6 linked regions of the Danio rerio genome follow. The protein of the gene in region 2 interacts with the protein of the main gene of each other region in a pairwise test. Links are inferred from orthologs where the notes say so. Each region holds a gene or a part of one and is shown on either strand. Other genes may lie near its edges.

Region 1 (3,500 bases), on a different chromosome or scaffold from region 2:
GGATTTTATAGTTATAAAATATTCCAATTATATTGGAATATAATTTAGCTTAGTATTCAACAAAGACAAAAAAAAAAAAAAAAATATATATATATATATATATATATATATATATATATATATATATATATATATTAGTGCTGTCAATCGATTAAAAAAATTTAACTAATTAATCACACTTTTTTTGAAAATGAATCAGGATTAATCACATTTAGACTGAAACTTGTAATTTTGGCTATTCAAATGTAAAATTAATGTAAACGCAAGAATTTTTTTTTTTTAATTCAAAATATAATTGGTTATTATAATTTTTGTTTAACTTGTAACACAGATTTCTTTATATAAACAACAAACCCACAATAAAACATCAAGATCCTGGCTTGACAGCCATTGACATGCAGAAATTTAAACACAGGCATGTTAATGCCTTTTGAATTTCAAAACAATCAATACCAATATAGAAAACATTAATTTCCAAGTTGGATTCTAAGTGGACTGCAAAAAATGCCACAATTCAGGCATTTCAGATATGGAAACTGGAAAATTATTATAACAATAATAAAGTATTGAATACAAACAATTGCACTCATTGCACAATTGCACTCAGTTGTATTGCTGTGAGCAACGCAATCTCATGGCAATTCGTAACTTTTTAATTTAGTGCGCGCATGCACACACACACACACACACACACACACACACACACACAGAGAGAGAGAGAGAGAGAGACAAAGACAGACAGACAGACAAACTCGCACAGGACAGCGCAGCAGGAGTGACTCCCTTCAGATTCAACACACATGATCACGTTCATCAAATTTGCTTAAACTAAGCGTTCTAAAGTATTGCTGTATTTCACAAGGATTCTGACACAACAACATAGTGCGTTGACACACTAATTTTGACAGCACTAATATATATATGTCATGCAATAATAATAATAATAGATTAAATAACAATACATTGAAATTTAATCATAAAATCAGCATATTAAAATTATTTTTGAAGGTGTAAAAACTTATCAAATATACAAATCCAAATGAGAAAAAGTTACGACAGTATGGAAAATGAAAGTAAAAAAGAAAGTAGTGATTTCTACATTTACTTTGACTTGTATTTCGTTGCAGACAAAACAACAAACATTTATTTAATAATGGTTGCCTGTGATTTTTCTTGTTTTTTTTTTTTTTTCCAAAATAAGCATGTATTCCAATTTTGGTTCTTGCAACACATTTCAAAAAAGCATTAACTATTTTGTAATGTTGCCCTTTCTTCACAACACTTAAGATTTGTTTGGAGGAAAAATGGGATAAATTTACAACTGAAACACTTCATCACTTGGTGCATTTTGTGCTTTAAAATGCACCACATTTTCTTTTGGAGAATTGGGACTGCAGACAGGACTTTGATTTGTGCAGAATGTGGTTTTGCGTTGTCTTGTTGACATGGGCATGAGCATCCCTGGAAAAGAAGGCAACATATTGTGCTCCAAAATCTCTACTTTTCAGCATTGATAGTTTTATCAAAGGGTACTGTCACAACCCCTCAGCTTAGGCTTGTGCCCATGTCCTTTACACACTGAAATTCTTCCAGATACCTTAAATCTTAAAATTATTTTATGCACTGTTAAAGGTGAAACATACAAATCTTCCTATCTTTCTTTGAGGAACTTTGTTTTTAAACATTACTAATTTTCTCACGTTTGTTGGCAAACTGGCAATCCATGGCCAATCTTTGCTCCTGTAGGACTTGACCTTTCTTGAATGCTGATTTGTACCAAATCATAATTACAATCACTTGTTGACAACACATGTTTCTAATCACATTCTTATCAATAACTTGTTCACCTGACTACTAGTCCTAAATTGCTCCTGTCCCAACTTTTTTTGGAATGTGTTGCAGATCTGACTGACAGGAAAGAATGTACATTTACAAATGAAATGAAGCTGACCGGACAAAACATGAAATATTTTGTGTCCATATTGTCTGCAATGTAATACAAGTAAAAAAAAAATTAGGAAATCACTACTTTCTTTTTTTATTTGCGTTTTCCATACTGTCCCAACTTTTTCTAATTTGGGGTTGTAGTATCGAAGAATATTAGAATATAATGGAATATTGAAATATAATAGAATGTTGTGATATTATGTAACATTGCATTCGTTATATATACTTTTACTTTATTTGTGATTGTAACAAAAGCTTTTAGCATCTGCTGTAGTTGATAAAGGTAATATTAATATAGTGTAATATAATATTATATAACAATTTGTGCACTATTGATTGAAACAAAAACTATACAAAAGCTTTGAATGTTATAGTATATATTTGCCAATGCTTTTAATCCACATGAAATGCCATACCCAGACTTCCATTAGCATTTTTAGATTTTATTGAGCGGAGTTATTTTAAAATAACCTTGTTCACTAAACATGTTGTTTAATTGTTATATTGTGTTTAAAAGAGGTTGTCTACTCTTTTGTGAAACTCTGTTTTATGATATAATTATAATTTGAAATATGATGTGTTTGTAGCAGATGCCTCAAAGAAAAACGAAACCAACCCTCTCACAGAGATCCTCAAATGTCCTACAAAGGTGGTGTTGCTACGGGTAAGTTTTATATCAATTCTCCTAAATAAAATAGAAATAATTATATAAAATATACAGTGCCTATAGAAAATCATCATACCCTGTGAAAATCTATACATTACACCCTGCTTTTAAAAGATCTTCAGGATAACGTAGAAAGGCTTAAGTTTGGAGAAGTCTACAAAAGGCTATTTGGAGTGTGATTTGATTCCAGGATGAATGACAAATAAAGTATTTATTTGCAAGGGGTATGAAGATTTTCTACAGGCACTGTAAATATTTTAAAATATGGATATATGACTTTGCAATATATATATATATATATATATATATATATATATATATATATATATATATATATATATTTTTTTTTTTTTTCCCGTATTTAAGTATTTCACCAGATGACTTGAGCTCAATTTGGGAATAATGGATTGTTTTAGGGTTATTGGTGTGATTTTGCTGTGGACAGAATTACATTAATTATTATAAACCAATTACAAGCATAAAATAATTACAACCTTGTTTGGATTGTTTACACACACAAAAAAAGACAAACTTTCGCTCCATTATAGTTAACATTTGAAAGGAATGCACAAATCATGTGTTATCTGAACTGGGCTGCCTTGTTTGATGAGGAATTAATTTTAATACCAGATGTCTTATTTTTTGTCACTTAATGTAATTTTTGCTCACATTTAACTTCTATACATTTGACAGCAAGTTTCAGAAATATTCAGGTCAGTTTGGTCAAAACCATTTGTTGTAATTATTGTCTTATATGTAGAACATGGTTGGAAGAGGAGAGGTGGATGAAGACCTGGAAGCTGAGACGAAAGAAGAGTGTGAAAAATATGGCAAAGTCGTTCGATGTGTCATTTTTGAGGTAATGTCAAACATTTTGTTCTGTGCT
Region 2 (4,257 bases):
ACGGCCAATTTAGTTTATCCAATTCACCTTCACCTACATGCCTTTGGGGTGCAAGAGTATGGATGTTTCCCAGTGTTTGGTTGCAGCTAGAAGGGCATCTGAATGAATGAATGAACATTTTACTCTAGCCCACAATAATTCTAAAGAAACTTTTTCAATAGCTGTGTATTAATGCATGTATATGTATTTATATATGCGTATGTGTAAAACTTGTTCAGGCAACGCAGTGGCGCAGTAGGTAGTGCTGTCGCCTCACAGCAAGCAAGCTTGCTGGTTCGAGCCTCGGCTGGGTCAGTTGGCGTTTCTGTGTGGAGTTTGCATGTTCTCCCTGCGTTCGCATGGGTTTCCTCCGGGTGCTCCGATTTCCCCCACAGTCCACAGATATGCGGTACAGGTGAATTGGGTAGGCTAAATTGTCTGTAGTGTATGAGTGTGAATGAGTGTGTGTGGATGTTTCCCAAAGATGGGTTGCGGCTGGAAGGGCATCCGCTGCGTAAAAACATGCTGCATAAGTTGGTGGTTCATTCCACTGTGGCGACCTCAGATCAATAAAGGGACTAAGCCGAAAAGAAAATGAATGAATGAATGACTTATTCATTTTTATATATATAAAAATACCATCTGCCATATCAGGTGCTTTCCCTTGTCTACACATTTGCCCCATAGAAAATCCTCTACACATCAGGGACGATGCAGACTTCAGGACCCTATAAAGAATAAAAAACGTGTAAATTCGTGTCTATGGGGACATTACAAAACTACTGATAGCCACGTAATAAAATTACAATAAAAAGATGAACAAAATGAGACAGAACTAGTCTGTAACTCTTCATTCATGACTCACAAATGATGTACACAACAAAAGCGGGACGCAAGACATAATTGTGAAACTCACCGCGGAGAAAGCATCTTCCTTGTTCTTGGCTCACCACTTTATTGTATAATAACACGGATTTTTGCTGATATAAACAACCGCACGCTTCTAGCAGAGATGTCAGCCTTCTGGGCAGTGATTCGCATTTCCTGAAACGTATAGTGGTGGGTGCGGCTTAACTACCGCATTAACCATAACAAAAGCGCATCTTTAAGGAATTTTCCTTCACTTAACGGTTCAACCTTTACCGTAAATACGACATAGTTTTGAATGTTTTCAGTGTGATAAGCGGGACATATAAAGTTTTGAGAAACGCTCTTCAAACAACGTTTGACATGAACTTTAATCTTTTCTGCATCATTATGAAGGAAATGTCGTTCAAACTAACGTATATTCACCAAGAGCAACAACATTCCTACAGTATTTTGATCTTACTTATACATATTCATCAACAAGGGCTGTGCGTCATGACGAACCTCAAATGGACACCTCCTATTGGTTCGCGAAAGGAAAAAAACGTTATTATGGTGATTAAACCCCTCCCCGCCGGCAAATATATGCTCGACATTGATAAACAAAGGACATTTACTGAAGCCAGGTGAAATCCGCCGGGTCAGTTGCTGCATGCGAGTCCCACACAGGAGAAGCCCAAACTTGACAGCGCAGGGTAAAACCCGGGACAGCGAATGAAGAAACACCTTTTGCTTCACTTCACATATAGAGGACTAGTGAGAAAAGGGAAAAAGAGTAAAAGAAGAAAATGGCCAATTTTAATTTGCGTAAAGCGGAGCCCAAAGACGTGCCTGACATATTGCGACTCATAAAGGTAGAATTGTACAATTTATATATATATATATTCGGACTACAGAATATTCTGTCGAAACTTCTTTAACAAGTGCATAAATATTCCCGTTTTGATGTCCTCTCCTAAGTACTAATTTAAAAAGTTATTGTCACACTTATTTTGATTTATTATGTTCAAATGGTTACAAAATATCCAAATATGCCCTTCTATGACAACAACCCCTATAGGCCAACCGCCTACAGGACTTGGTGTTCGTCCAACTGTTCTGAAAGCATCTTTTCTTTACTAACTTCTGCAGGAACTCGCGAAGTATGAAGAAATGGAAGACCAAGTTCTTATAACTGAGAAAGGTGAGGTCCGTCAACGTGTCTGATGTGAGATCTGATCAATATTTTGCCCACAGTTACAACAATAGTTTTGTGTTTAGATCTGCTCGAGGACGGTTTCGGAGAGCACCCGTTTTACCACTGTGTGGTCGCAGACGTGTCAGCCGAGCATCAGAAAGTCGAAGGTAAAACACTGACTTTAACCTGTTGAATATCCAAATAGTTCGTTTTTTGGGGGGTTCACTAGAAGAAGTTTGTTATATATAACTTATATTTTAGCTAAATGTTTTAAAATACGTATTTTACTAAAATACTTATTTTTACTTACAGTACTTTAAAAAATTTGTATGCATGTGAATGTCTTTTTTTTTTTTGCCAAAATAATTAATAAAAACTGTAATCCACTAGCTTAAAGTGGTAGTTAACCCAAAACAGAAAGGTCTGTCATTATTTACTCACCTTTCACTTGTAAAAAAAAAAATATTTACAAACAAATAAAAAAATAAATACATTTGAATAACCTGGCTTTAAGGGATAGTTCACCCAAAACATAAACTTGTCAATATTTACTAACCCTTGTTAAAAACTTGTTTCAGTTTCTTTCTGCTGAACACAAAAGGTGAAACAACCAGAAAAGCTGTAACCATTGACCTCCATAGTATTTGTTTGTTCTACAATATAAGTCAGACGGTTACCAGTTTCCAGCTTTCTTTAAAATGTCTTTTTAACTTAGCAGGAGAAAAAAAGTGTATGCAACTTGGTGTGTAAATTTAAATGTTTGGTTACACAATCCCTTTAATAGGACTACCAAATATAATACGTGTCAGATGCACATTAACCCATGTGTGCTGTTGGGGATGTTTTCATTCACTCTGGGGTGATTTTGAGTCTTAATTTAGCCACAATTTTCTCTGCGTTTCAGCAAATGGAATGATTTTTGGTGACATCTTATTTAGACACATATTTTGGGAAAATGCTTTAAAATATTTTCAAAAATTCAATAATACACTCTGGCCAAATGTACTACCCTTTTGTTATGTTCTTGGCTGTTTTTGCCGAATTGACTCTCATTATAAGTACATTTTGTAATCATGCTTTTTGATTGTTGGTGGTTTTCCCTGTTGGAAAGAGGTAAATGTACAAATTTTTACTGTTGATCATCAGTTGCAGAGCAAAAAAAACTTATTTTCTGGACAAAAGTTATATCGTTGTATGAAGTATAGTGTGTGTGTGTGTGTGTGTGTGTGTGTGAAAGAGACCTTTGCGCACTTACCTTTATGTTTGAGAAAATACAAAAATAAGCAGCTGAGTTCTCAGAACATATACTAGTACTTATATCAAGTGTATTTATGCACGCACACTATAATCTGCTGTTTTCCTCCATAGAAAAGTCAGAAACTTTTTTGCACAGGTCTATCTAAAGAGTTTATGCTTTTAACTGATGATCAACAGTAAAAATATAAAGATTTATCTCATCCAAACAGGGGAAAACACCAACGATCAAGAATGCACGATTATTTGGTGCCATGGCTTTGCAATAAAAAAATGTCGTTATAATGGAAGTCAGTGGAGCAAAAACAGCCACCAACATAACCAAAGGGTAGTCAATTTGAACAGTACACAAGTGTAATTACACTTAATATGTGTAGTTTTAGAACTTTTCTCTTATTTAAAAAAACGCACTTTACACCTGAAACATCCGTGTTGTTTTCTGCAAGTCCAAATTAATCAAATGACACAACTTTTTAAATAATAAAACTTCAGTCACATTGTTCTGCATTTTAAACATATTGGATAAATATTTGTCACACTTTATTTTGCAGTGTAACTATACATTTAAAGTCCCCAAGAAATCAAAACTAATCATAGGATTTTGTTAGCTCACATTGCCAGTTTTGTGGTGAACAATTTATCTGTGCATGTCATTAAGAAAAAAATGTTTGCCCTTCTGATCTTTAATGAAAATCTGAAAATGCACTTCCTGTTTGTTTACAGTTAAATTATCATATTACATTACTTAGAGGTAATGGGCGTGGCTAACATATTTAATCAGGCTGGTTCAACTGTCAGTTTTGACAACAAACAAATGGTGAGGAGGAGTCTGTTAAGTTGTAATAACTCTTCTAAAAACCCTTTACTACATCCATTTAGCCTGCGATAAAAACAAAACAAAACAAGCAATGCCCACTGTTTGCTCATTTAAAATTCGGTTTCTCTAGGAACTGTGTCACAATACTTAAAATAATGATCAC
Region 3 (2,279 bases), on a different chromosome or scaffold from region 2:
CAATGAAACTAAGGATGCTTTCACACCCGTGAATCGATTCAGTTGTTCCAAAACAGAGATTACAAATGTTACATTGTTGCTCTTGGAGCCATTCGCTTTTACACTGCAAAGTTTCCAATCGGACCAAAAGAGCTAAAACAAGTCACGTGTGAGTAAACTCTCCTCACATTGGTCAGAGTGTCGGGGTTTATTTTGCAGAGTCCCGCTCAGCTGTCAGGAGAGGTGGTGGTTTGGTGGTGTTTGACAAGGTGCACGCGAAGAGAGGGAGATGCGCGATTACCGGGAGATTATCACTTGTTTGCGGGCATCCAGAGACTCGCGAAACTTCCCGCCCTACTCATAATTCTCTCTTCATATAGCCGTCTGCCTATTACATATCCATAAAACACTGTGATGTAACCGCGCTCGGATCGTTTGCTTTCTCACTGCAATCGATCCGCTCCTTAGTTCGTTTCAATCGAGACGAGACCACCTCATTCAAGCGATCTCGGAGCAATTGATTTGGCGCGAATCAGAGAGCGATTGGTGGATTCACATATGCCAAACGAACTGCGCTAACTGGGCAAACGAGACAGGTTCCGAAACAAAAGTGTAGGTGTGAAAGCACCCTAAATTAGCAACATGAACAAACTGGAGAGTCAAGTCAAAAAGCTGGTACTGATTGCACAAATCTCATCTCATTTTCATTTGTTTTTCCGGGGCCGGGTTGCGGGGGCAGAAGTCTCCAGCTCCCCCGGGGGGATCCCTAGGCGTTCCCAGGCCAGCCAAGAGACATAGTCCCTGCAGTGTGTCCTAGATCTTCCCTGAGGCCTCCTCCGGGTTGGGACAAGCCTGGAACACCTTCCTAGGTAGGCGTGCAGGAAGCATCCGAAACGGATGCCTGAGCCACCTCAGCTGACTTCTCTCGATGTGGCTTGCACAAACATGTTGTACTATTCACATGTAATTAGATGCGTGAACATTTTAAGTTTACTCGCTTTATTCGCGTGTAAAATTCACTTCAAGACAGATGCGGCTTTGCGTCATGGCAGGAGTGTCTGTCGGCCGACAACTCCAGTTTCATTGCTAATGGCTACCATGGATTTTATCAAAAGATTAATAGTGTCTTAGGAAGGCTGAAAAACAACATATATTCATTCGGCGCTGTGTCTTGGTACATCGGATCCTTTGGAGGTGCACCTAGCTCTGTGGGTTCATCAACTCATTCAGAAGCTGCACCTGGATGACAGACACTTTCAATGGTACTTCTGACTGAATTTGATGACCTGTTGTCCCTTGTCGGCAGGGTTTTTTCCTTTGGGACACCAACTGCAAACGCTACATCATAATCACGCCCCCACTAAAGCAAGCTTCTGATTGGTTAACATGGTATGAAATCTGCCACAGTTCTAATTTTTCAACTAGAGTGATTTGCATGTCAAACACCCGAAATTCTCAATTCGTGCGAATTCGCACATCTGATGGCGTCTCTGCATTGACTTAACATGCAAATCACTTGTGCTTTATGGTTCATCTACATCTGGTGTGAACATACCATCACAGTATTACCATTGTTGTTGTGTTTAGGAGTCCACTTGAGCGGTGTGAGACATTTACAACCCCTACTGCAGCAAAGGGCTGTCAGAAGGTTTAAAAACAGTATACTTACTCAACTTCTTTTTGGCCTCAAACAAAAAATAACAGTTTGAAGTATACCAGGGCCTGAACACTCTTTTTCAATGAATGCAAATGCCTTAAATGTAGTCCTGAGTATTCTTCCAGGAACGAGCACGCTACTATATCCTGAATTCTAGTAGATTGAGGTACCTTGAGGAAGGCATGCAGCATCGCTCTGAATTCATCCATGGACGTTCCGCGAGTGGGTTTGTCGTAGAGGTTGTTGTCATGTCGTAATGGAGAATCAAGACCATTTTCTCCTCTAATGCTCTCTTCAATCCCACACTTCACTAACACAGCCTTCTCCTTCCATACAGCACTGTACACCTGCAGCACAAACAATTTTATATTATTGCCTAAAAGGCCATTTGTGTCTTGTATCCAATAAGTGCGTACGTTTTTCATACAACACGTGCATATGTTGTTCTTAAAGTTTCATACCAACTTTAAACTTCTTTTATCTGTTAGTAATTTGAATAATACACTCTCAATATAAGAGCTTTTCACACAACTGTTTGTTTTTGATAATTTGTGCACAGGGATGTTTAGTAAAGGAGACCCATTATTATTTCATTATTCTGTTTTTTTAATTGGTTTTTGTTGTTTACCTGGTGTGTTGGGGA
Region 4 (4,145 bases), on a different chromosome or scaffold from region 2:
CAACACATTTGTAAACATAATAGTTTTAATAACACATTTATAATAACTAATTTATTTTATATTTGCCATGATGACAGTAAATAATATTTGACAAGATATTTTTCAAGACACTAAAGAGCTCAGAGTGACATTTAAGCTTAACTAGGTTAATTAGGTTACCTAGGCAGGATAGGGTAATTAGGCAAGTTTTTGTATAACTATGGTTTGTTCTGTAGACTAATTCGATGAAAAAAAATTTTAGCTTAAAAGGGCTAATAATTTTGCCCTCAAAATGGTTTATAAAAAAATTAAATCTGTTTTTATTGTAGCCAAAATAAAACAAATAAGGCTTTCTCCAGAAGAAAAATATTATCAGGCATACTTTGAAAATTTTCTTGCTCTGTTAAACATCATTTGGGAAATATTTTTAAAAAATCCAATGGGGGCTTATAATTCTGACTTCAACTAATGTTCTTACACATTGCCAAATTTCTTGTTTAAGTCATTAGGTGGTTTTGATTTACTTTTTTATAGTGTAGGCTAATCATTGTATTGACAGATAAATTTAAAGTTAATATTGAGATTCAATTGGCAAGATTTCATCAACAAGCTCTCATTAAGTGGACGTTGGCCCAAGCATATTTCCACTCTAATGTATTACATTTGGAATAACAGAAACATTTTATATAACTGGTTTTAAAACCATATACTTTTGGTCAGTCAGTTGATCAATAGTAATGTTATCATACACAAATTTTTGACAAAATTAAAATTGCAATTATGCCCAGAGATTATGCAATTATAATGAATTTTAGGCTACCTCAAAATGTATTAAATCTCTTCTTATAAACGATTGCAGCAAAAAACTAATTTGAATAATATAACTAAGACAATATTCATAGCAAATTTGAATATTTTAAAAGACAGCAATCCAAATAAATGCATAAAAAATTTAGTAAATGATGTTTTATCCTACAGCTTGATACATATATTTTTTTTTTTTGGTCATTAGTACTTGCAGACTTAATGTTGTGTAAGGCTTAAACATTAGTTGATAAATTCTAAGCAATGTTATAAACATCATTTTCTTTATTACAAAGAAAGAATTTATCCTGTGAAACATATATTGGAACATTTTTAAAATAAAGATGGACTACTCCTGTGAAACTTGTAATGAAAAAAAAACTAATTGTCTTATTTTTTCATTGTACTATTTATAGAAAGATATTCTGGGTTGATGTCATATCTTCATACTCCATCGCAGTAGGTGGCAGCGCCCTATTGAGTGTTACCTTACAACTCGCCTTTAAGCTAAACGAAGAAGAAGACCAGGAAGGGGTAGAGGACTAGTAAGCCTGTTTGTTTCAGTGCAAGTTTGTGAAACGAGTGCGCTAGTTCCTATGGGCTAGATTCGTGGTTATTGATAAGTTGTGCTGACGTCCAACATGTCGAGTCGCGCTCTACGTAGGCTGAAGGGCGAACAACGCGCTCAGGCCGTGTTACAAGAGCACGAGCTTATTAAGGAAGATGACAAAGATGAAGAAGAGCAGATGAAGATTGCCGAACAAACAACCCGTAAACCGAGGAACTTCAGCAGCTTATTTGAACTGGTAACACTATGCATATTATATTATCACAATGCAGTGAGTGACATGATCAAATGGCATTACTTGAAAATGGTAATACTGAATTGATTATGGCTGGTGCAAAATTCTTTTGGTTGTTTCACCTTAATAGAAAAAGAAATAATAATAACAAACAAGTAATAATTCTGAAAAATTCTTGCGATGCAACATAAAAAAGTTAAATTAAATAATACTTCCCATTATTATTAACATTTTAAGTATGCACTAATAATAATAATAATAATAATAATAATAATAATGTATTATGTATAATATAATAATAATGGTTAAAAAAATAAAAAATATCTTTAAATTTCTCCTATTTTACCCTTTTTACAAGATGTAAGATAAGTCTTTGGTGTCTCCAGATTGTGTCTTTGAGTAAATTTAAGTATAAATTTAGGGTACAAGGAAATTATAGCTGTATTTGTAACCTGTGCCTTCAAATGCAAATGAGCTGGTTCTACTGTTCAGTCTAGGGATGTGAACTTATAGACCAATTGCCATGATTGTAAACATTCAGGATGCTATGCCCTAAAGAGTGAAATCATATTAGCAGACAATGACTATCAAAGTGTTCACAGTCATATAAACAGTGTTATTGTTGTTTTCAAGTTCTACTTGCAGGTTATTTCAGACCGAATATTCAAAATGCCATGGTAAACAATATAGGGAGTGTGTCACAACTTGTCACTAAATGAATGTGTAAATATAAAACTGAGTTTACCTTAATAACTTACACTTTCACGTTTCATTCTTTGCATTTAGTGTCCGCAGTTTAATTTACCATATGTAACTGTTTTTGCTGAAATCATTTCTGCAATCAAAAATGAGTAATTTGTATGATTCAGCGTAGCAGAGTCCAGCATTTCTAATAAGGTCGTCACTTCATTCAGCTCTCTTCTAGCCAAACTTCTGCAGTTGGCATTAAAGCAGTGTGGTGTATGGTAAAAGTTAAGTTTTCTATTCAAATTTGGCACAACACGACATGTTTACTATTGCAGCCTGTCTATTTTTGCAACCGGGGACCCGTGTGACGTCATGCGTGACGTAGGTTGATAATTGGTCTATACTGGTCTCATGGTTTACTTCATTTACGATTATCATGTAATTTGTTCGGTATCATGTAATCTCAGTGCATTGGAGATGCTTTCCATAAACATTTTGATATTTTACTTGGCAACACAATTGTTCTTGTTAGGTATGCTTATTTCAGCTAATTTTGCCAACCCACAACCACTGTTTGTAAGCTGAATATTAACCGTTAACTGGCCAGATTAATGTTAAATTATTATTTAAAAAAAAAACAATTGACGTGTCTATTTTGTAGAGGTGTGAACATACACTGGTCTCAAAGTTCAGTTACGATTATCATGCCATCGATTCAGTTTAATTTGATATCTCAGTGCACCATGGTGTGTTGACTACGCTTTATATACACAATTTTATATTTTACTTCACAGCACAAGAAAATTGAATGAAAATATATAAATATTGTTTGTAATACAATTTTGTCCTTTAATACATACAGTCAGAACTGTACCTTTAAAAACTTAAAGCATCAACATAAGCATTTATACGCTTATTTCACGTGGCCGACATTTTAAAGAACCAAAGTGAGGATGCGGTGGGAAGAAACTCGGAAGTATATGACTAACACTGTAAACATTGCAGCAACATGCTGTGGACTACAAAACTCTAGCTGTTGTCGCGATTTTAAAATGCAGAAATGGGGTAACCATCACTTTAATATTATTGAGTAAGTTTAATTTAAATAATTAAAAGCAAATTAGGCATCAAACAACATTACAATCTCTGTAAGAGTAATATGCTCAAGTTTCCTGCTAGGCTTCAATTCATGGCATCAGTTAAACACCGTGTGGACGCTTTCCTGCTTCAGCCTATGTAACACGGTGAGCGATAAAACACTGCAGCCCTCTATAGCACACCCTCATGTTGTCTGTAATAGTGTTGTCTTTTAAAACTGGCTAACGTTAAAGGGCCGCTTCGTACTCCAGTCTCCGTGTATTTGTGTTTGCACTAAGTTTACTGGTCTTCACCCAGTGCAAACACAGATACACAGAGACTGGAGCGCGAAGCAGCCGTGAAGATCAAGATCGAGTCATTGAACAGATCGCTCGGCTCATCTGTGTTTGTTCTCAGTAAATCAGCGCTCTTTTAAGAAAGCCATCAACAGTGCCTTAAAGGGCCATGAAACCCCCTCGTTTCAGCAGGGTGTTTTCACACCTCTACTTTGGAAAAAGTCAGAAAAGTGGGCGTGTCCAGCTCTGTTTAGGGGGGAGTGTCGGAGGAACTAAAGTGGGAGGGTGTGGGAGTGTCTATTTGGGCACGCGCAAGTTTCAGTCAAAATACTTACACACAGGAGAAAGAGATGGTGTTTAACCTACATGGACATCTGTAGTGGAATTATTTGCCAAATTATTAAATGGTGGACTTTAACTGCAGTTTGGCTCTTTCATTCAGGGAATTCGTTCATGCCCCTCGCGACAAACGAGATATTTGATTCGAGGATCTGCTCTA
Region 5 (2,492 bases), on a different chromosome or scaffold from region 2:
CTCATATTATCTTTGTGAAGGCAACTTGTTGCTTTTAAAGGAATTGGTTTACTGGCTTTTGGTACAGTTACTTTTTACAGTGTATGCACTGTAAAGAAATGCTGGGTTCCACACAATTCCTTCATGTTGTTCCAACACAAATCAATTAAGTTGAAATAGTGGTTTTCACAAATTTAAGTGGACTGAACATAAAACAATTAAGTTGTCCCAAAACAAACTTAAGAATTGTGTTGTTTCAACTCATTTTGAATACGTAGTTTGAACAAGCAGCAAAAGCAGTGTAAATTGATTGCAACAATTTAGCAAAAATCGTATTTTTCAGTGTAGCATGTCATGACAAAATCTCAGTTTACTGCAGATTAAACGGTCATTATCTTGTCTAGAAAAATCAGTAATAGTTATTATGACATCAGAAAAATGAAGCTCAGCACACTTCATGAGCAAATGAGGATTTTTGGATTCCAAGGGAACACAGCACAGTCAGTCGTCTCTCTGACAATAAGCCCCTTGTTGCTAAGCAATTCAAGGCATTGTTGATGTATTATTATGAAACAAGAAAACATGAGATCTGAAATCACATGCCTGCTGAGATCACGTGGAGCACCTGTTTCTGGGCCTGACAGGCAACTAGCGGGTCCACGCAGATGCATAAACACCTGCGCACATGCGTAAACATCTGGACGGCGTGTAAATCTGAGCATGAGTAATGACAGCGTGACTGAGTGACTGAACTGAGTCTTGATGCAGCAGAAAACACTTACCTGGGTTTGCGATGCACCGCGCATGCTCAGTGGTCATCGTGCACTCCTTTGAGACGAGGATTCGCTGTGCATGAAGTCCACCAAGTTCATGTTCCCATCAGTGCTGTAGATTTCCGCCAGCATTTTAATAAAGGGATGCATTGTCATTTGGTAAAGGGATGAAGACAAGATAGTTGCATGAAGCATTCCCCTTGAAATTAACTCCCAAGACAGTAACTTGAAAACAGTGGCCAAACTGATCCTTCAAGCCACGGTGTCGGTGTGGACTCTGTTGTACAAGGTGTTTTACTTTGTGAGACAATGCAAACCGGTTATTTTGGACTCTGTATGTGATAATGCTGCGAAAGAATGACGCCTAGATCGCGTGATGGATGAACTGTAGTGTGGTGTGGATCTTGTGCTAATGAACAAAAACGAACATGATTGGTTTGTTTTCAATACTCACAAAAGGGACCGACTATAATGACTCTTTAGTCACTTTGGACGATGCACAAATAACTACACAGGGTGTGCTAAAAGGGTTTTTTACCAGAGTGTAGTACATACTGAATACTGCCATGCGGACACATGTTTGCCACAATGGGATTTTTAAGATAACATAGCCTTAAGTTATGCAACATGCTGCTCTCCAATTAATTCTAATAGTGAAACAAATTCCTTCCTGTTAGCTGAATTGGTCGTGGACAGCGTATGTTTGCTATTGTTTGGAATTAATTATAAATGCAATTTAAAACATGATTGCTATGGGGTCGTTTCTCTCTCTAGCTCAGTGTTTCTTTCCTCTGCATTAAAGTGGGAGACTAGAACATAATTGATGATAGTGCAAACGATTTAAACGTTATTGCATAATAGCATTAGATAAGAACTCGCCTCTTTTTCCTACAATTACTGACAAATGTAACTCATAAAGTGCCTATGCAAGTTCCTTCATTTAATGAACCGGGAGTCGTTCGGTTCTGTCAACTGAACTGAACAGGCGGGCAGATAGAGACACCTCTCCACGTCACGTAAAGCTGGTGATTTTTGCGTTGCCTGTCATGTGATTACAGGGTATGTTTCTCTACAAAAGTAGCCAGCCACATTGCAAAAAAGTTTCAGCTCAGGTCCAGAACTTAATGTGTGTGAGACAGTGTGTCTGCGCACGCGCGTACTGTGTGTGTCTTCAAGTTGTGCATGTGTGTGCTGTTAACTGATTCATTTGTGCAGTCATCATGATGAAAGGTCATCGTTCTTCCATAATCATACATCTGTCTGTAGGGTTCGTGAATGTGAACTGTTTTTCCCGCCTAAGTCAGTACCGTTCCCTCTGCTCGGGCTCTGCGTGTCACCCCCGCACAGAGATTCCGTCACGCCCTCCTCCATCTCCATGTACTCCGCAGCCTTGTCACCTAAAGATGAGCCCGATGGGGACCCCTTGAATTTTCTCAGGAAATCCGGAAAGTAGGGGCAACCCGGTGGGGGTTGTTCCACGGCGGGCGCCTGGTCCTCGTTATCAGTCTCCCGGTGGTAGAAGTAGTTGAAGTTAGACACGATGACGGGGACTGGAAGCGCAATGGTCAGGACGCCGGCGATGGCGCACAGCGAGCCCACGATTTTGCCCCCGACCGTGATGGGCTTCATGTCACCGTAGCCCACCGTGGTCATGGTCACCACAGCCCACCAAAACGCATCTGGGATGCTGGTGAACTGTGACGTGGGCTCGTCCGCCTCTGCGAAGTACACCGCGCTGGA
Region 6 (4,220 bases), on a different chromosome or scaffold from region 2:
AAAGGAAGAAGATACAGGTACGTGACTGGCCTGCCTACAGTCCCGACCTGTCTCCAATAGAGAATGTGTGGTGCATTTTTAAAGCGCAAAATGGGACAATGAAGACCCTGTATTATTGCACACCTAAAGACATGTTTGCAGGAAGAATGGGAGAAACTTACAGCTGAAACACTTCATCACTTGGTGTCTTCAGTCGCTAAATGTCTTTTAAGTGTTGTAAAAAGGAATGGCAACATTACAAAGTGGTAAATGCTTTACTGTCCCAACCTTTTTTTTAAATATGTTACAAGAACCAAAATTGGATTGTGTTTATTTTTAAAAACCATGAGAAACACATTAAATAATGTGCTGTTGTATTGTCTGCAATCAAATAAAAGTCAAAGTAAATTTAGAAATCATTTCTTTTCATTTGCTTTTTGCATACTAAACATCTGATTTGGGGTTGTGAAAAAAACAGGAAAAACTGAAGCTAAGAAAAAATACTGAATCTTATATTTTGTGCAAACTACAGTATTTCTTCAAATCCTGTTAAATACCTAATGTCATTTATTTATGCAAGTAGTAGATATTTAAAACAGTCTTACGGCTCCCTTTAGTGCTCCTTCAATGGTGGTTTTGGGCAGATTCTTGTTCCGGCACTGCTCTAGAATTTGTGCCAGTCCAACATTTAATTCTGGATTGGGTCCTCCCTCTGAAACAAAAACACCTGGTCATCTAACACAGAGTCACTGCAAAATCACCCAGTGGCATCATGGTACTTTGAAGTATACCATAGTATTACTATGGTACATGTGTAGTTGACAAATATGTAGTAAAATTGAGGTAAAGTTGGTTTTAAATTCGCACATTCGTTCATTTAACTGTCACTATATTGTTTACCATGCTAATTTGAACATTCAATCAGAATTAGCATGTAAGTATGACTTGAAAACAACACGAACACTATCTAATTGACTGTAAGCATGGTTGTTTTTTAATAGTCATTGGCTGCTAATATGATTTTCTTATTTAGAATTTGCAAAGAATACTTTTCAGAAATTATATTTTTAAGGAGAATGCATGAATATACGAATATAAAATTAACTTAACCTCTATTGTAGTAAAAACTTTTTTTGGCAAAATCGTTTTTGAGATTTTTTTTTATATTCATGTAGTTTGAGGTCTAACAATAAAAAGTGGTCTTTGTCAATTTTTTTTTTCAACTTTGTCAATTCTTTCACTGTTTTTTTTTATTATTGAATTGTAGCTTCATTTTGTGCCATTTATTTTATATGAAATCATGAATCATGATTTTTTTTCTTGACTTGTCGAACATTTTTAATAAACAGGTGTCACACTAAATAACAACAAAACTTAACAACAGTGGTTAATATGAGAACAATTAAACTGGTGCAGGTCATGATCTGGGTCCTTCAACTAATTCACAATTTTCAGTGGAATTGCCACTATTAATAGAAACATATAGACTAAAGAATTATTGTGATATTTTTAATGCTTTACTAAAATTAGACATAAGTTACTTATTAATCATTTTAAAATTTTCTGTAATTTATTAAACTATTCCAGAGACAGGAGTCAGACTCAGAACAGATTTGAGATTTGACTAAAAATTTCATAAAAGCATTTTTATTTTATAACAAGAGGCTTATGGAAGACAAAATGTTTACCCTTTTTTTGTTTTTAAATGATGACAATACTAATTCCAATCATTTTAGTCAGGTGGAACAGTGAAACTATAACATCACGTCAGCAAATTGCATCATTATTAGCCAGTGATGGGTTTTTATTGAGGTAAAGTTGGTTTTAAATTTGCATATTAGTTATTTTAGCAGTCTCTATATTGTTTACCATGTTACTTTTAATACTCGATCGCTAATATGATTTTCCAATTTAGAATTTGCAAGGTATACTTTAAAGAAATTATATATTTAAGGAGAATGTCTGAATATCTGAATATAAAACCAACTTTAGCTCTAACGTTATAGGCTGGTTTTATATTCGCACATTTGCTCAGTGACAACTTGTGAGAGGCTCCCTTTATAGTTTACTATGGTAATTTGAATATTAGTTCTGAAATTACATGTAAATATGACTTAAAAACAACATTAGCATTATTTATTTGACTATGAGCAATGTTGTACTTGAATAGTCATTGCCTGCTAATATGAGCCATATTTAGGCAAAAACAATATTCTCTGAAACTACATTAAGGAGAAAGTCCAAATGTGTGAATTTAAAACCAACTTGACCTTGGACTTTCACTCAAATATCATGCATTCACCTCTGACTGCAATCCTAATCATCATGGTGTACTTAGCAATGACCCGGGCTCGAGCAGCATCTTTGGGTATTTTAATATCCTTCACTTTGGACCATTTGTTGTGTCCTGCCCAGCTCACAGGACTGGAGTGCAGAGCTCTACATGGGTGAAGGACTGGACACTGAAACACCGCAGACGCTCGCCTGGACAACCTGAAAGCCCTCAGCATGATGTTCACTAACATTCCTCTTCTTTCACCGGGCACATGAGCTGTGTGTTTGACTCCAAAGCAAACGACTTTGGTCAGAATGTCATGCTGCCTTTGCTTTAAAATCATACGCTTCCAGCGTCGTGCACGCGTTAACAGGAGAGTTTCAGGTACTATTTTGCGGTCATGATTAGAACATTCATTGATATAACGCGTTCCGTTACTAAAGACAGTAAACTAAATGTGTATGTTAGAATTTTGTAGTCATTTAATTAAGCAGAGCGACTTCTTAACGCACGAGTCCAAGAGATAGCAACACCATAAACGTCATCACCGGTTACACTAATTTCAAAATAAAAGTACTCAGAGTAGATGTGAGGTGAGATGTGAGGTGGCCCTCAAAAAATTTCTTCAACACATTTCTAAACATGATAGTTTTATTAACTCATTTTCTAATAACTGATTTATTTTATCTTTGCCATGATGACAGTAAATAATATTTTACTAAATATTTTTCAAGACACTTCTATACAGCTTACAGTGACATTTAAAGGCTTAACTAGGTTTATTAGGTTAACTAGGCAGGTTAAGGTAATTAGGCAAGTTGATTTGTTCTGTAGACAATCGAAAAAATATATAGCTTAAAGGGGCTAATAATATTGACCTTAAAATGGTGTTAAAAATTTAAAAACTGCTTTTATTCTAGCCGAAATAAAACAAATAAGCCTTTCTCCAGAAGAAAAAATATTATCAGACATACTTTGAAAATTTCCTTGCTCTGTTAAACATTATTTGAAAAATAATTAAAAAGAAAAAAAATCTAAGGGGGGCTAATAATTCTGACTTCAACTGTAGTTGTAGTCAAGAGATGCCTTAAGGGTAGAACTTTACTTTTCTAAAGAAGAGGGTCTGCTTTAGACCCAATCACTCAATGTGGATACCAAGACTTCTAAGACAATTGATCAATCCTTGTTTAATTTTTTTTATGGAAAAATAAGAAACACTATATTAAAAAATCTGTAATTTTGAATAATTATGAAAAGTTGATTAATTTCATCAGTTTTACTAATGTTAATTCATTCAAAATTAAGTGGATTAATCAGCATCTTAAAAATCCTGCCACTTTGTGGAATTTTATCCCAAATTAGTTTTTCTCTAAATTACGGAGTTACATTTTTTTTTGCTCTTGTGTAATTATAATACTGAGAAAATTCCATGGAGTCAATATAGGGCCATATAGAAAGTAAATAGAGGCAGGTCTGGCCCTGCCGTAAACGTCAAAGTTAGACACCGCCCCCTTGTCAAATCAGGGCCACAAAGTGAAACCCACAAAAATGTGAAGTGCAAAGTAAAAACAGCATCGAAAACTCACGGTTGACTAAAAAGCAAATCTAAAAGAGCATTGCAATTGACTAAACGGGTTTTGTAAAGGCAATGCTTAAAAAATGTGTTGCCAATATATAGTTATATATATATATAATATATATTTTTTATCGCAAATATTTTAGCTTTATTTTGCATAGCTTGATTTTTTTGCAGTTTTTTTTTGTTTGCAAATTAAATTTTTATTTCTCAAAACTTAATTTTCCCTTTGCAGTTCTTTATTTTTGTTAGCAAAATTAATTTTTATTTCTCAAAAATTGATTTTCACTTTGCAATTTTTGGAGATTTGCATTTATTTTTATTTATTTTTTGCTCAATACTTTATTATTATTATTTTTTTTTGCAAAACGTTCCTTTGTTTTGCGAGTA

Evidence for each region.
Region 1: the proteins of sat1b (region 2) and rbm17 interact in binary tests that used the Homo sapiens proteins (3 or more experiments, as listed by UniProt). The two-hybrid records come from large-scale screens. The link is inferred for Danio rerio from reciprocal best matches to the Homo sapiens genes SAT1 and RBM17.
Region 3: the proteins of sat1b (region 2) and dipk1b interact in binary tests that used the Homo sapiens proteins (3 or more experiments, as listed by UniProt). The two-hybrid records come from large-scale screens. The link is inferred for Danio rerio from reciprocal best matches to the Homo sapiens genes SAT1 and DIPK1B.
Region 4: the proteins of sat1b (region 2) and tcf25 interact in binary tests that used the Homo sapiens proteins (3 or more experiments, as listed by UniProt). The two-hybrid records come from large-scale screens. The link is inferred for Danio rerio from reciprocal best matches to the Homo sapiens genes SAT1 and TCF25.
Region 5: the proteins of sat1b (region 2) and kcna4 interact in binary tests that used the Homo sapiens proteins (3 or more experiments, as listed by UniProt). The link is inferred for Danio rerio from reciprocal best matches to the Homo sapiens genes SAT1 and KCNA4.
Region 6: the proteins of sat1b (region 2) and taco1 interact in binary tests that used the Homo sapiens proteins (3 or more experiments, as listed by UniProt). The two-hybrid records come from large-scale screens. The link is inferred for Danio rerio from reciprocal best matches to the Homo sapiens genes SAT1 and TACO1.

Annotation. Positions count from the first base shown.
Region 1 is NC_133179.1:26,155,775-26,159,274, reverse strand, and holds part of rbm17 (splicing factor 45), read left to right. Parts: intron 1-2,534; coding exon of another isoform or gene 2,535-2,537; coding exon 2,538-2,611; intron 2,612-3,374; coding exon 3,375-3,473; intron 3,474-3,500. UniProt on the Homo sapiens protein: Splice factor that binds to the single-stranded 3'AG at the exon/intron border and promotes its utilization in the second catalytic step. Involved in the regulation of alternative splicing and the utilization of cryptic splice sites.
Region 2 is NC_133199.1:25,853,383-25,857,639, forward strand, and holds the start of sat1b (diamine acetyltransferase 1b), read left to right. Parts: upstream 1-1,457; 5' UTR 1,458-1,634; coding exon 1,635-1,700; intron 1,701-1,977; coding exon 1,978-2,029; intron 2,030-2,106; coding exon 2,107-2,190; intron 2,191-4,257. Other genes in the region: acot9.1 (acyl-coenzyme A thioesterase 9, mitochondrial), read right to left, coding at 619-707, 896-909. UniProt on the Homo sapiens protein: Enzyme which catalyzes the acetylation of polyamines. Substrate specificity: norspermidine = spermidine >> spermine > N(1)-acetylspermine. This highly regulated enzyme allows a fine attenuation of the intracellular concentration of polyamines.
Region 3 is NC_133196.1:8,505,297-8,507,575, forward strand, and holds part of dipk1b (divergent protein kinase domain 1B precursor), read right to left. Parts: coding exon 2,265-2,279; intron 1,984-2,264; coding exon 1,807-1,983; intron 1-1,806.
Region 4 is NC_133193.1:32,710,062-32,714,206, forward strand, and holds the start of tcf25 (ribosome quality control complex subunit TCF25), read left to right. Parts: upstream 1-1,345; 5' UTR 1,346-1,424; coding exon 1,425-1,589; intron 1,590-3,878; exon of another isoform or gene 3,879-4,008; intron 4,009-4,145. UniProt on the Homo sapiens protein: Component of the ribosome quality control complex (RQC), a ribosome-associated complex that mediates ubiquitination and extraction of incompletely synthesized nascent chains for proteasomal degradation.
Region 5 is NC_133182.1:32,643,678-32,646,169, forward strand, and holds part of kcna4 (potassium voltage-gated channel subfamily A member 4), read right to left. Parts: coding exon 2,001-2,492; 3' UTR 762-2,000; intron 1-761. UniProt on the Homo sapiens protein: Voltage-gated potassium channel that mediates transmembrane potassium transport in excitable membranes. Forms tetrameric potassium-selective channels through which potassium ions pass in accordance with their electrochemical gradient.
Region 6 is NC_133187.1:9,860,724-9,864,943, reverse strand, and holds the start of taco1 (translational activator of cytochrome c oxidase 1), read right to left. Parts: upstream 2,801-4,220; 5' UTR 2,598-2,800; coding exon 2,282-2,597; intron 692-2,281; coding exon 585-691; intron 1-584. UniProt on the Homo sapiens protein: Acts as a translational activator of mitochondrially-encoded cytochrome c oxidase 1.